Arabidopsis thaliana: one gene and its partner. The protein of the gene in region 2 interacts with the protein of the main gene of each other region in a pairwise test. Each region holds a gene or a part of one and is shown on either strand. Other genes may lie near its edges.

Region 1 (7,531 bases), on a different chromosome or scaffold from region 2:
TGAACTTTGAATGAGTTTTTATATATTAAATTTGAATTCGTTTCTTTAAAGCATAATTATAGGAAGATCAATTAAAAGAACAAAAGGTTTTGGACTGAGAAAAGGCAATAACAACAATAAAGGGATTCAAGGGCCCATAGAAAAAGTATATTTGTCAAATCGTCCCAATGAAAAGAGTTTTCCTTTCAAATATTTTGGCCGAACCAAAAAAAAAGGTGATAGAATATAAATTAAAATATAATAGGAGAAAATAGGAAATCAATTCATTAACAACAATATGTACAAAAAGGTGCTTTGAGATGAATTGAATCTAGTATATGAAAATTTTAACTCAATATAGTTTAGTTTTAAAATGGAAATTTCTGGATCGACATTAAAATAATTGTTCGATCAAAATTATGATTCGATTTTTTTCATAAAATTTGTAGTTCGCTTACACCTGGTTCAAACATCATGATCCTTCCAAACCAAAAAACACCATCATAATAAGAAAAGAATGAATAACAAAATTTGAACATATTCAAATAGTGAATTCTTAACCCAATTGACACATCTCTGATATTTCATAATCAAATGTAAAACGAAACCTTTTTTTTTGCCATTCTGGTGCTTTATAGTGTGTATATACTGCAGCATTGATGTATAAAGAGGGAAACTTATTCAAAGCACTCAGACTATTCAGTATTCATGTAGGGGCCTTCTTCAATGAGAGACTTTACTAAAGTGAGTTATATTCAAGGAACAAAGAGTTATTTTCTATAAAATATAAAAGGGCACTTTGTTATTTCTCTTTCTAATTTCAGCATTATTTGTTTATTATATTGATCATAGGATTTGGGGAGATATTCTAGACATGTAAAATGTCCAAAATCGAAAATTTATGTTTAAAATCGAAAATTGAATTCATATAAAATTGTTTTTTTTTAGGGGTAAAACTATGAATTACAAAAGGTTATACGACTGATGCAACGTCAGATCATTCGATATTGCATCATGGCCTGAAAGTGGTTTTTTCCAAAGGTTGCAATGTCGCAGTAAGTACTTCATTGTTCCACTATTTTTTCATGTATAAGAAAGAAAAATAATAAAGCCTAAAGCAAAGAAGTACAAAACATGTTTCACAGTTGAAAACTAAAAGTCTACATGTTCATTTGTTAAGTTTTATAAAGAAAACTGTAGTGCACTGCTTTTCTCTCTTTGCTTTTTGTAAATTGGTTGATAAGATCCGAAAAATGGACCCAATATTGTAATGTAACCATCAAGAAGTGAAAGTGAAAGTGAAAGCAACAGTTTACCCACACCAAGGACATATGTTCTATCATTTCATAGTCTACCTCAACTCGTCGGTTGCAGTCTTAAGTTTTGATATCAATTTTTGTTTGTTACAGTTTTTCATAGTTTAGACAATTTAGAAACCGTATTGAAAATCAAATCCAGTTTCATCTAGTGAAATTTCAGATCAAAATCAGTTGTATGCGAAGACAGTATATAAAAAATTTGGATGGATACTTCTTTTATAAAAATAGATCAGATGCAACTAGTGCACTTGATTGTGGATATTGACATTGTTCAATACACACCATTCAAAGATCTGCATTGGCATTGACTATTCCATCTTTTTGCTAAAAACTTTTGATGGGTTACACTTTAAACATAACCCCAACGAGATGAAGATCATACAAGCACAGGGAAATAATCTTATGAGCATCATTGCTAGGGAATATGTATACACAAACGACAGAATGTATTCAATCTACAGTCATCGACTACAACACCGAATATCCCAACTAGTTCAAACAAATCGATCATGGCCAAAACCGAGCCTCAAGTCTTTAAAGTTTCTTAAGCTATCAAAGCATACTGCCACTACCAGGCAAAAATCACTGATTTCGTTCAATCACTGGGCACTATCACCTAAACATCTCTTAATCTGCCATGGTTCGATATAGGTAAACTACTTTGACTACTTCATTGGATCCACCATAAGCTATATAAAAACTCCACTTACTCTAAGTCCCACAACTCTTAAGTGAATCAAACTTTGTCCAGGTAAGAAGAACACTACTTTCTCCAGCTAAGACAGAGAAAGCAAAATCAATGACTCATTCAATCAAGGACACTTAACACCTAAACTAAAGACACATCTAAATCTTCCATGACTCGATAAAGATACCCTGAACAACATCTTCAGCTTCAGAAATTTCAAGCTACATACTTTATCCACCATAAGCTATAATGCTATATACAAACCCCAACTTGTTCGTCCACTATAAACAAACCAGGGGAATCCACCATAAGCTCTATACGACATCTTTAGTTTCAGAACTATCAAGCTACACACTTTTATCCACCATAAGCTATTTACGACCCCCAACTAGTTCATAAGCCTCATAACCAAGAGAATCCTATATCTGCAAACAATTCAACTTCTCCAAGTAAGAAGAAGTAAGCTGGTACCAATAAGAACACAATTTCATAATATAACCAACACTTTATTACAGAACAACAAATCCAATGTTGCAAAACATGAAACCACATAATAGCAGAATCTAAGGCCTTTCCTAAGAAACCCTAAAAGCAAATAAAACCATAATAAGAGCAGAAAACAGAGAGCCAAACCACCAACATCACGAGACTTGAAAATAAAAAAACAAAAGAGAACACAACAGTTTCTTCACCAATTCATATCCTATCAACCTTATCAGCCTTCACCACAGGATTAGCTTTAGCAATAGCTTCTCTCGCAACTCCTTTGAAATCGAATTGGCACTCGTGACTCTCTGGATATCTATGAGTTCCACAGAAAGTGCTTCCACACCTACACTTGAAACCCGTCACGCCAACTTTCTTGTTACAGCTCAAGCATCTCGTAGCCGTCGATTTCGGTGGATCCAACGGAGCAGCAGCCGAATCACCCCCTCTCGTTGATGAGGAAGACGATCCAGATCCGAGGACGCCTTGAGTGATTTCTTGGCTCTGTTGTGGTTGAGTTTTGGGTTTATTAGGGTTTAGAGATTTCTCGACGGCGGCTTTAGCGGAAGCGGTTTGTTCCTCCGTGGCTCGGATGTCTCTGTAGCATTTAGAGCAGAGGTTCATGTTCGATGGAGATCCGAAGAAGCCACATCCTTTGACGCAGAGCTTTGGCTCTGAAGGAGAGAAGCTTGTGCTGTCGTTTTGCTCAGAACCCATAATGGAAAGATCTCCCAATTCCAAAGTCGAAATCTTACTGCAAAAGAAAAGACAACACAAATCGTGAATAACAGATGAAGAATGAATTTGTGACTTTAGGTTTAGGGTTTTTATTTATGATTCCGTCGAGAAAATAAAGGGAAATTGACAATATCGAAAGATTTAGAAAACGGAGATTCTTGGCTTGTTTCTCAAGCGAGAAAGACTAAAATTATTTCTCATTTATGACTAAAATACCCTTGGAACTCTTTATAAAGTCGAAGAGTAAATGCGTCATTTGTCAACACTTAAGACCAGGTCAGCGTCTATCTCACAAAGACCACTTTACCCTTCCGGCGCAAAAAAGGACAAAAAAGAGATAGATAAGAGTTGTTTAATCTTCGCCGTCAAAAACTTAAATCGAATGGTTCAAGAATAGATGAAGGATTCAAACGAAGAACACAAATCTGCATATCGGCACAGAACAAAACCAATAAGATATTTACCTAATTCCCACCCAAAACTCTGCTTTAGTATGTCGGCGACAATTCTCTCGTAAAGAAAATCTCTGACGGTATGTATCACTGAAAATTTCCGATAGAAACTTCGTGATTTGATCGGAGATGGAGACCGTAACCGAAACCTCTTAGCTTTCGCCAGAGAGAAATTAGGACAGAACAGAAACCAGACTCTTTTAGTTCTTTTGCATTTGTCTTTGTGGTCAAATGGTTTATTCATATGCGGTAAGGCGCACGGAAGATTTAATACATCCCTGATAATATTCGTTCGATGAAACAATCGGAGAGTGATGACGCCATTGTTTACTAATCCAACGGTGGTGATTGGAAGTTTTTTGATGAGATAAAGTGGATATAAAATGGGTGGGGTTATCAACTTTTTATGGTGTTTGTGGATTACGATAAAGTTGGTTCGAGTTCGTGAAGATAATCGGTTTTATATGAACCGGGTTTGGTTTGTGGGGACATGCTTAGCTGGTTGGACGGTGACGTAACAGTAGGATAAAGAAAAAAGGTGGCGCGTTTGTCCCGACGCGATTAGTCCATCGCTCTTTTGATTTGATCGGAATGTGATGATATGTTGTTCCAAATGTACTCTTTCTTCCTTGGGCCTTTTCAATTATCTCTTTCTTTTCTTCGCTAAAACGACCGGATTTTAAAAGTGGTCAGGTCTTTTCTCACTGAGTTTACTTGCAAATATCAACATGACTAAATCGTTTTAATTTACGTAAAGTGTTTTGGACACCACTATATCTAATCTTGAGCTATAATTTGTTTATGCTTGTCCTTAAAATCGAGACTAATTCAATTTCCATTTATCTGGTTTGGAAACGACTAATCGAAATCCAAAATCATCGAACGCTATCATTCAAGACGTTATATTAGCAAGCGACTCTCACTCGCGACTGCATCCTTTTTTTTGGATCCAATACTGACCATAAGGTCCACAACCAAATTAAATTTGATATAGTTTGTGAATTGTTTATAGGGTCCATAAGCTTCTTAGTTCTTATGCTCCTCTTTGGTATGGTATTAATACTTCAAAACGTAGCTATCTAATCTATATATCATCTATCGATATGTTCATTTTTACAGGGAGTCTTGTTCTTATATTTTGCTTACAAGTATCAACTTTGGTTGCGTTTCATTCTCTTGTTCGATCCTCTCGTTTTCTTTTATGTTATGCTCCGTAATATATATAAATTGCCTTCAAGCAACTAAATTTCAATAATTAAATATGTTACGTATTTCTTCTGTCAGTACGATGTATGTACGCACCGTAACGGCAAAGCGAAAATAAAGCGCCGGTCTAAAGCAACTCTGCTTACACATTTATCGGTGGTTCGTGACGGAGCAACAGCTATTAGCCACTCATATGTCTCCACATGTTTGACTACGACACCGGTTTAATAAGTTGAAACTAAACCACCTAATTATAAGGATATCATTTTTTAAAAGTTTTTAAAGCTAAGAACGGAAACGAATAATAAAGATTCTTTCTTCTAACCCCATTCGCTCTCTCCGATCAACACAACATTTGATCTAACGGTTTAATTTTCTCGAGAAACCGAAGGAAAACAAACAGAGGTGCATAACGATTCTGACGGAAACTTTTGAGATATTTTTTTTAGAGCCAAAAGGATTCACTTTTTTTGGTTTTATCTTCGCATCGATCTATGACGTACAGCAATGGCGTCGATGGGACGGTGCCTGAGCTGAAATTGAGAGTCGAAGAAGATTCCGATAATGGTGATTATCTGAAATTGAGAGGAGGATCAAATGAAGAAGATGAAGGATCATCGGCGGAATCATCGAGATGTCCGATAGGATCGGTTACTTCTGTCTGGTTCTGGGTGAAATTGATCTCCTTGGTCGTTTGTTTGGGTTCATTGGCCTTTGTTATCATCAAATGGGTTGGTCCCTTTTTGATTGAAAAGGTTCGTTTTTTTTTTGTCTCTCGAAGATCTGATGCTTATTGGTTACATTTGATTGGATTAGGGTATGCATAATGATTCTGGTTTCTGCTGGGTTTTTAATTGTTGAAAATTAGGGTTCTTGAATTACATGTATGAGTATGTGTTTATAAGGAAGGTTATTCATTTATCATCATTAATGTTGGTGTGATTTGTTTCAGGAGCTGATTCCATTTATAAATTGGGTGAGAAACACATTCAGCATACCGGTTCTCGGTCTTCTACTATTTGCCTCAGTGGCATTGTTTCCAAGCATTCTTCTTCCTTCTTCCCCTTCCATGTGGATGGCTGGTCTTACATTTGGTTATGGAAAAGGGTTTCTTCTGATTTTATCAGCTGCTTCCATCGGTGTTACTCTTCCTTTCTTAATTGGACATCTCTTCCTCCACAAGATGCAAGTAAGCATCATCATCCCATACTCTTTGTTCGGATACTTATTATTAAGCTTGTACCATGAGATGATCAATTTGGACTTTTTTTCTTTCTTGTCATTTGTGCAGGAATGGTTGAAGAAATACCCTAAAAAAGCAGCCATACTTAGAGCTGCTGGTGAAGGAACCTGGTTTCATCAGTTTCAAGCAGTCACACTAATCCGTGTCTCTCCATTTCCTTACATCATTTACAACTACTGCGCTTTAGCGACTGGAGTTCATTATGGTCCTTATATCTTAGGCTCTCTTGTTGGAATGGTTCCTGAGATCTTTGTCTCAATTTACACGTACATGCCTCTCTCTCTTTCTCTATGTCTCTTGTCTCAATGTTTAAGGCATGTTCTGCAGAATCTTAAGACTGGTGGTTTTCTGTTTTGGGATATTTGCAGGGGTATAATGCTAAGGACACTAGCAGTTGCATCAGACACGAGACACACACTTTCGGTTGTGGAGATAGTCGTGAATGTTCTTGGCTTCTGTGTAACTGCGAGCGCGACTATAGTCTGCACAATCTATGCGAAGAAGAAGCTAAGTGCGATGCAATCAGAGGACGTAGAGACATTACAAAATCCAATACTTTATTAACTCTTTTCACCATGACCACAACATACCATCATCTAACACGATCTTGAAATTGATAATATATAATGTTTTTTTTTTTTTTTGTTATTCTTATTCATTTGAAAATGAATATTTATGTCTTTTTCTCTTGTATATATGATATGTATCAATTGAATTTTGAAAATTTCCAATGTATATTTATTAGATCATCTAAGTCTTTTTCTTTCCTTGCATATAATCCACCTTATGTATCATGGAACAATGTCTTGTTGGGTTTTGTTCAAAAGTAAAAACAAAAATGATCCATGAAGACTGTGTGTCCTCCTATGTTCCATGAAATTTATGTATCAAATGATCTTTGGAGCTAACTTCGATGCTGAGTGTCAATGATGACGTCATCTGTTTCGGTTTTGTTGACAGAGTAGTCAACGCGAGAACCTCTGTGATGTTTGGGTTTAGTGCCACGTTATTGGGCCGTCGGACCAACTGCGCCAACTTCAATTTCATATGGATAGGTTTGGATCAATTTCATATGGATCATATGATACGTTTGATGTATTTAACAAGGAATAATTTCCTGGCAATTTTTATTACTTGGTCTGAATAATGATGTAACGAGTGAAGAAAATATATAGCGTATCTTAAAATTAAGCATAAGTATTGAAAATCATCGAAAAAAGGAGCAAATCTGGCTTCATATAGTGAAAATATTGCTATGAAAGTCTCTGATAGACCTTAAAAAAAAAAAAAAGCAAACCCGTTTACTATATGAGCCATGTCTTGCACACCAGTCTCAAACCACAATAATATCTTCAAAACAATCAAGAAAGAAATGGAAAAAAAGGAAGAAGAACAAAATGATTAAACAAACTCAGTAAAA
Region 2 (7,504 bases):
TCAAGCTTTATTCTGTAGCCTGATATAGCAGCTCCGGGTGTTAGCATACTCGCGGCAGTGAGTCCGCTTGATCCTGATGCGTTCAACGGATTTGGACTTTATTCAGGGACATCGATGTCGACTCCTGTTGTTTCTGGAATCATTGCTCTCCTAAAATCACTACACCCTAACTGGTCTCCTGCTGCAATGAGATCAGCTTTGGTCACAACAGGTTCTTGCTTCTTCTTCTTTTCTTCTTTTTCAAGAACAAACCGACTAATCGATTTCCTTTGTAGCTTGGAGGACAAGTCCATCCGGAGAACCCATTTTTGCTCAAGGATCAAACAAGAAGCTTGCAGATCCATTTGACTATGGAGGAGGACTTGTAAACCCTGATAAAGCTGCTCAACCTGGTCTTGTCTACGATATGGGGATCAAAGATTACATCAATTATATGTGTTCCGCGGGTTACATCGACTCTTCAATCTCTCGTGTGCTTGGTAAAAAGACTAAATGCACAATTCCCAAGCCATCAATTCTTGATATCAACTTACCTTCAATCACAATTCCAAATCTTGAGAAAGAAGTCACACTTACAAGAACTGTAACCAATGTTGGACCCATCAAGTCAGTTTATAAAGCTGTAATCGAGTCTCCTCTCGGTATAACTCTCACCGTGAACCCAACCACTCTGGTGTTTAACTCTGCAGCAAAGAGAGTACTCACTTTCTCGGTTAAGGCTAAAACGAGTCATAAAGTCAACAGTGGCTATTTCTTTGGAAGCTTAACATGGACTGATGGTGTTCATGATGTTATAATACCTGTCTCTGTTAAGACAACGATTTCGATGTAATAAAAAGAGCCATATGATGCTCATGGTATTGGTTCTTATTATGTAATTTGTTGCAAATCTAAGTTTAAAAGTGTCAAATCAAGATTCAAGATCATCATAAAACAGATCAAATCACAATTAACTTAGAATCTCTTACACAAACATACAATAGAGAAAACAGTAAAGTTCCCTCATTTATTCATCACAACCATATATTATGCATATAAAACTGCTACAAATCGAATCAAGACAAAAGGATCCTCATGATCTCATAATCTATAGGCTATAACATAGAAAATACATAACCATCATAATGACTATATATTATAAAGATGATGTGATCTTTATTATATCTTAACAATAAGCGATACACTTCTTCTTACAATCCATAGTACATCCTCCACCGCCACCTCCACCGCCGTATCCTTTCCCGGAGCGGCTAAAAGATTTGAAACACTTAGCAGGACACCTAAGCTTCTTGCCGTTACAAGGTCCTTTCTCTTTGCAAGTAACCGTTGGTCTCACCACACCTCCTTTCCCAAACCCTCCGCTAGGACCACCAAACCCTCCACCGTATCCACCACCAACTCCAGTCCCCGGAAACCCGTTTCCAAACCCGGGTATAAATCCGGATCCGGGTACACCACCGAATCCTAAACCATCGTTCCCGCTCTTTTGACGAGCTGATTCAGTTGCAGAGACGAGGATGATGATAAGAAGAGAAGCCAAAAGGATAGATTTTGTGAACATTTTTGGTAATGTAGATATTTAGTGGGTTTGGTTGAGGAGATTAAATAAAAAGCTGGATGATATATAAAGATAGAGAAGAGCATTAAATTGGAAGGTATGAAAATACAGTTAAGACAATGATTCGTGGACTTTAGTGTGTAATACAATCACTTTAATGCCCGTACTACTACTCTACTTTGCAAAGAAGACTCTTGTGTCTTTCTCTATAGTCTCTATTACTTGCGTAACTAGTTGAGAGACTGTTCAAATATTTTTATTTAGCAGCACTTGGCGTTGGCGACATTTAATTTAAGCATGTGTTATTCAAAGAGCGACAGATAGTTTAAATTAAGATTTGATAGTGGAGGACTTTTGACAGATGTGTTCATGATAAAAAAAATAAAGGATTAATTACCTAAAGTTTGGATGAAATCCACAATTGGTATTCTCTGTAACCATCTGCCAAAAATTCAAAAATTTGTGTGTTAATAATAGTGTCTATTTATAAACACAACAAATTTCTAAGCAACTGTTTTATTACTCGCACAAAAAAAGAAACTTGTGGTGTTCATAATTTAATCTGTTCTATAAGGCCCACTCATTATTTCAATCCAACCATATCATTTAAGACTTTCAAGTCTTAAATCAAAATCTATGCAGGTTTGATTTAAAAGGATAAACTGGTTAACAAAATGTAAGTTTCGTCCAAGGTTTCATTAAATTTAGGGTTGATTTCCATTAAATTGGTTTCGTTGACAAGTTGGTTCTTCACCCACACACAGCTCTTGTTAGCTCTCTCGAGGACCCACCATTAGTTTGTATTTTATATGAAACTGTAATGTAAATTATTTATGCATATTTGGTTGGGTAAGAGTCCATGTTTTGTTTGCTATTTATACGACCTAATTATTGAAATTCATTGACAAATTCGGCCAAGTAGACTACTAGTTAGTTTTTCTCACCTGTGAAATATGAATTTTGTTTTTATGTATTGTGTGAGACTGTGAGCTGTGTTTGTTTATATTGGTCCAGTACATATATCAACTTTTGTATGGATATATACACATTCTTTTTAACCACTAAAGCTTAAAACAGTAAAGGATGATGAGCAAGTAATATCTGAAAGAATGGGAATTCAATGAGATTATTAATGGTGATTTTATTTCATCTATCCTTCGACATTATTACAAGGTTTTTAGTCGTCAAACCGGTTCAAAATTGACAAAAATCGGTTCAAGTTTAATTCTCTGCTCTCCTGAGACTGCTTAAACTTTTGAGTGGTCCTTGCTGCTCAGACCATGGAGGTCGTTTGTTGTTTTCCTGAAATATAACACAGTTTATTATAAATGATTCATCAGATGATTACTTACTCGGATCTCAAAATGTATCAACTCTTCCAAGTATGATTTGGACATGGAGCACAAAACCATCTGTGAATACATACACTGATATCTGTGACAGAATTGCAGGAGGAACATCTAACAGCTGGAGCTCCATAAGGATACATCAGTAGCAGTTTGCAATTGTTGCAATTCACCTGACCAACCTGGTTAGCTGCAAACAAAGAACGACAAGTCCAGAACCGATAAGAGAAGAAGGCTATTTCATCAATAATGAGGCCAAGTGATTCACAAGCTAAGAAGAACAATCTTGGTCTTAAGATCACACAATTTCCCCAAGAGTAGTAAGAGTAAAGGATAAAGACCACATAAATGGTCTACAAAGGAGACATTATGATGGAGTAGAGACCAAAAGGCTCACAAAAGCTTAAGAGAAGAATCCTAACCAAAGATCATTCTTGTGTCAGTTAAGAACTAAACTCATTTGGTCTCAGGAAGCTTACATTTTGAGATTCTCAAAAGAACATAGATATATCATTCACACATGCTAAGTAAAACTAGACTGAGAGAGCATTCCAAGATTGTTCCATTAAGAGTTTCAAGTGACTGAGATTATCAACAAAAGCTTTTCAAGTAATGAATAAGAGATAAAAAAGCCATGGAAGAACGAACCTTCAAGAACGAGATTAACAGTCTGACAAGAGGAGCACTTAACATGTTTGGATCCTCTTAGATAAGAAAGCAAACGCCTGCAAGATCCACATACCATTTGGGCCTTTTCTGCAACAACCCCAAAAACAAAGAAGATTTGCAGAAAAAAAACACTAATCAATTCTCGGAATCGAAAATGGGTTATCTCTAAAAGTCTACAAACTCCACTAAAAATCTCTAATTTGATCAGACTGTAGCAAGAAATGGAAGCAAATCGATAAACCCTAAAATAGACAAGACTACAAGAATACCGGGAATTTCTACGGTGGTGGGATTGGGGTTTACGGCGGCGGTGATGGTGACGATTGGAGGAGGAAGAACTGCAGATTCCCATCCCGGAGGCGGACCTTCCTCTTCCTCCTCTTCTTCTTCACGGTGCTTTTGTTCTTCCTTCTGCGTTTGTTGTTGTATCTCTTCCATCACGCCTTCCGTCTCGGCTCCGGCGAAGATGTCCAAAGTTAACTCTCAGATTATTATTACTTTTACCTTTTTAACTTTCCAGTAACGTTGACAAATAGTTGACTTTCTTAATAAATGTAAGGTAAAATTCAATACAAGAACAAACAAAAAAGATTTAGAAAGAAAATCAAAACAAATGATAGTAGATAAATTCGTTATTGCATCGGTGAATCAATGAACAATGTTCACATGACTCTCTTATCAATCAGATGGTAGTAACAACAGCATGCACTACAGCTAAATATTCTAGCTCATCCTTGGCTTTATATACATCGTCAAACCATTCTAGTATCCCCCAAATCTCTCCATCCTTGCGTTTTTCAATCGTAATTTCCGCACACCAAATTTTTCTCACGTTACCCCACTCCTTAGCACTCCACGTACACCACCACCATTTTTCCACCATAATATGCCAATTTAACATTACCATAAACTTTAGGCAATCTTTCCAACCCCTTCATAGTTGTCCATGATCCTTTTTCCGAGTCATACCAATCGATCATACCGTTACCACTTCTATTGCAACAGTAGAACACGTTCTTTATCACACAAAAAAATGATGAGCAACGCCATCCATTATTCATCGCTAAGTCTGCCGCTATCCATCTACCTTTATGCAGCTTGTAAGTCACATTATGAAAATACGACCTTACATAGACAGTTCCTTCATACACTATGCTCTCACACTTATAGCCTGTGCATATCTTCTCCTCACTCGGGAATTGCAAAAACTCCCAAGTTTGGGTTTTCGTATCAAAAACCTCCATCCATTTCGTTGAATCGAGAGTTCCGCGGCCTCCTGTTACATATATTTTCCCATCAAGGACGCAAGTAGATTGGAACACACGGGAAACCTGCATGCTAGGGGCCTCACACCATGTGTGAGTACGACAATCCATGACCATGACGCTAGACGAAGGTTTAGTTCTATTATTACTGAATCCCCCAATAGCGTAGATATTAGGACCAACAGCCACTACACTATCCGACCATGATGCAGATTTAGGATATGAAATTGGGATTAAAATCTTTTTTGAGCTATTTGGTTTGCGGCAAAGAGTGAACCAAATTAATTGTGGGTTAGAAGCGTCATATGTAATCTGCGTTAAGCACACGTACAAACAACTCTCGGTGCGGCCTAAGAGAGTTTGGGTCTGGTAAAGCTCCGTTGAAGTAAGGATAGAGCGGAATCTCTTGGATACTAAAGAGAGAGTTGGATAGTACTATCTTGAGATGCGGGCCAAATTAAACAGTTTAAAACCAAATCATCAGGAAGCATAAGAAAATTCATCCGTCTTCTTTTAAAAGGTGGCTCTTCTCCGTTCATTGCTGTGGAAGTGCACCCGAGAGCGCTAGCTGTGTCGGCTTTGCTTTTTTTTTCTCTCTCTCTTTTAGGGTTTAAGTAGCTTTTCACGTAAGAAACTCTTTTTTGTGTGTTTTGCGCTTAGGCTTTTTATGTCTCACTTGAAATCTTTATATAGCGAATTATCATTCCTAATCTAATGAGGAAATCTAACTTCTTTTTCTATTTTACTCCTTTATGTTAACTTACCTTTTTCATAAGATAAGAAGAAGGATACTAATTAACAAAACTGAAAACAAACAAAAAAAATGCAAAGTGTTATCCGTTAGTGTGGTTTGTTATTGGAAGTTTGAACCATGTCCCAAAATAACAAATTTTTGCATGAAGATTTTGGAGGTTCACTCATTAGTCATGACTCAACCATTCACAGTGTTATAAAAAACACTTAAAAGGAGTTGTTACGTGGGTTCTCAAGGATCTTTTTCTTAGATTCATAATCCTGCGAGCTTCGGTTTTGCAGAAAAGATACGATTAAGAGTAGCTGCCAAGCGAATCCCACCTTGTGCAAGTCTCTTCTCTACAACGGGTAACCGAGAAAGGAAATACTCATCTGCAGAGAAAGCAGAAGATCAAGTCATGTCCATGATTAAAGAAAACAAAAAGCCACGATCTGGTTTCATAGAGTAAGTATACCTCCTAAAGTAGTCCCCGGAGTAGCGTTCCTGTAAGCATACTTGCAGGCGAGATCAATGCTTTCAGAAGCATACCTTTAACACATCAAAGAACAAAGAGAATCAACAATGATATGGTAACGAAAACTAAGTTTTCTCTGCTATTAAGCAACTTAACAGATATATAGATGCTTGCTTACAGATTTGGACAGGCCTTTTGGTGAAAGTGACATGACTTCCACGACGGAACATCATTCGACCAGCCGTTCTATATTAAGACAGACGTAACAACAAACACTCAATGTAAGTTGTGTTTATCTTGGATACGGCTATAACTTGCTGAAGCTGATTAGAGAAGGCAAGATTGTACCTTGAGTTTGGCTTGAAGAGCTTGAATCATGTGTGGAAGGCTTGAATTGTAGTATGTTTCTAGAGCAGAGTCAATTATCATGTTGTCCCAGACCTTCAAGTTAAGATCGTTCCACTTCCGTGTCAGGAAAGATACTTTTTAGCATCAATATGACTAAAAAACAAAGCACTTACATGGTGCAAATTTGATTTGTTATGGTACCAGTTGACTATTATTGTGTTACCACCTAGATCTCCAAGAAAACCAGTATGCAAGGGCTGCGAAAATCATAATCCACATAAAGATTAGCCATACTCTTGTGTTGCTACTATACACTAATCAAACCTCCAGAGTCCAGAGTAGATAGAGTAGTAGCCTCAAATGCATATAACTCTGACAGCATTTGTTTGTAATATTATGATTCGACTGAATTTGCAAAAAGGACTAACCTGATGAACATCTCCCATATAATGTGACAAGAACAAGAGAGCCTCTGTCAAGTTGTCTGCCAAGAACAGAAAGAAAAAGACTTCTAAGTCACACTATTATGATCGATGTACTCACACAGAAATCAGTAAACTGAAACATTAAAAGAAGTATCAGATTCACTTAAAATCTAACTCACAGTGGACTATATTCTGTGAGTTTTCAGAAGCAGACATTAACTGGTTTGTGTAATTGAAGATCGCTCCTGTCACACACCAGTCCTTATGCTTATGAGTGTCATGGCAGTCCCCTTCACAAAACACAAAAGGACATAGAGTTGAACTTAGAAAATACATAGCCAATGGAAGCAGAAACAGAACAGAAACATGTATGAAGCTGGAGGAAAAGATAACCCACGGCAATACTCGTAGTTGCACCTGTATTCAGGTGTGTTAACATAGTGCAAAGTGCTAGTCCATTGCCATTGCGAGAGTTTTTTAATTTCATCAGGCCATGAGCAAAAATCTGCTAGTCCACCACCATCAACTGATTCAGGCAGAAGTTTCTTCACTGCAGCAATAGTATCATCCTCAAAGAATCCCTGAGGATTTGGAAATTGAAATCATCTTATCAACAAAGCTAATACCTTTTCAGTCTAAAGCATGATCCAATCTCAAAGAAATTCGATGAAACGCCGATTAAACC

Evidence for each region. The genes of interacting proteins can lie anywhere in the genome.
Region 1: the proteins of LOL2 (region 2) and AT1G12440 interact in a two-hybrid assay, tested with the Arabidopsis thaliana proteins (one large-scale study listed by BioGRID).

What each region holds. Positions count from the first base shown.
Region 1 is NC_003070.9:4,239,134-4,246,664, forward strand, and holds AT1G12440 (A20/AN1-like zinc finger family protein), read right to left. Parts: upstream 4,069-7,531; 5' UTR 3,675-4,068; exon of another isoform or gene 3,227-3,674; 5' UTR 3,190-3,226; coding exon 2,683-3,189; 3' UTR 2,288-2,682; downstream 1-2,287. Other genes in the region: AT1G12450 (SNARE associated Golgi protein family), read left to right, coding at 5,363-5,623, 5,821-6,057, 6,160-6,377, 6,480-6,675. UniProt on the Arabidopsis thaliana protein: May be involved in environmental stress response.
Region 2 is NC_003075.7:11,485,576-11,493,079, reverse strand, and holds LOL2 (lsd one like 2), read right to left. Parts: upstream 4,105-7,504; 5' UTR 4,012-4,104; coding exon 3,843-4,011; intron 3,661-3,842; coding exon 3,553-3,660; intron 3,095-3,552; coding exon 2,985-3,094; coding exon of another isoform or gene 2,928-2,984; exon of another isoform or gene 2,861-2,927; coding exon 2,780-2,860; 3' UTR 2,657-2,779; downstream 1-2,656. Other genes in the region: AT4G21630 (Subtilase family protein), read left to right, coding at 19-211, 276-832; AT4G21620 (glycine-rich protein), read right to left, coding at 1,166-1,561; ENDO5 (endonuclease 5), read right to left, coding at 5,845-5,963, 6,047-6,120, 6,225-6,292, 6,395-6,487, 6,568-6,651, 6,823-6,878, 6,999-7,109, 7,217-7,400. UniProt on the Arabidopsis thaliana protein: Putative zinc finger that may be involved in programmed cell death and defense response.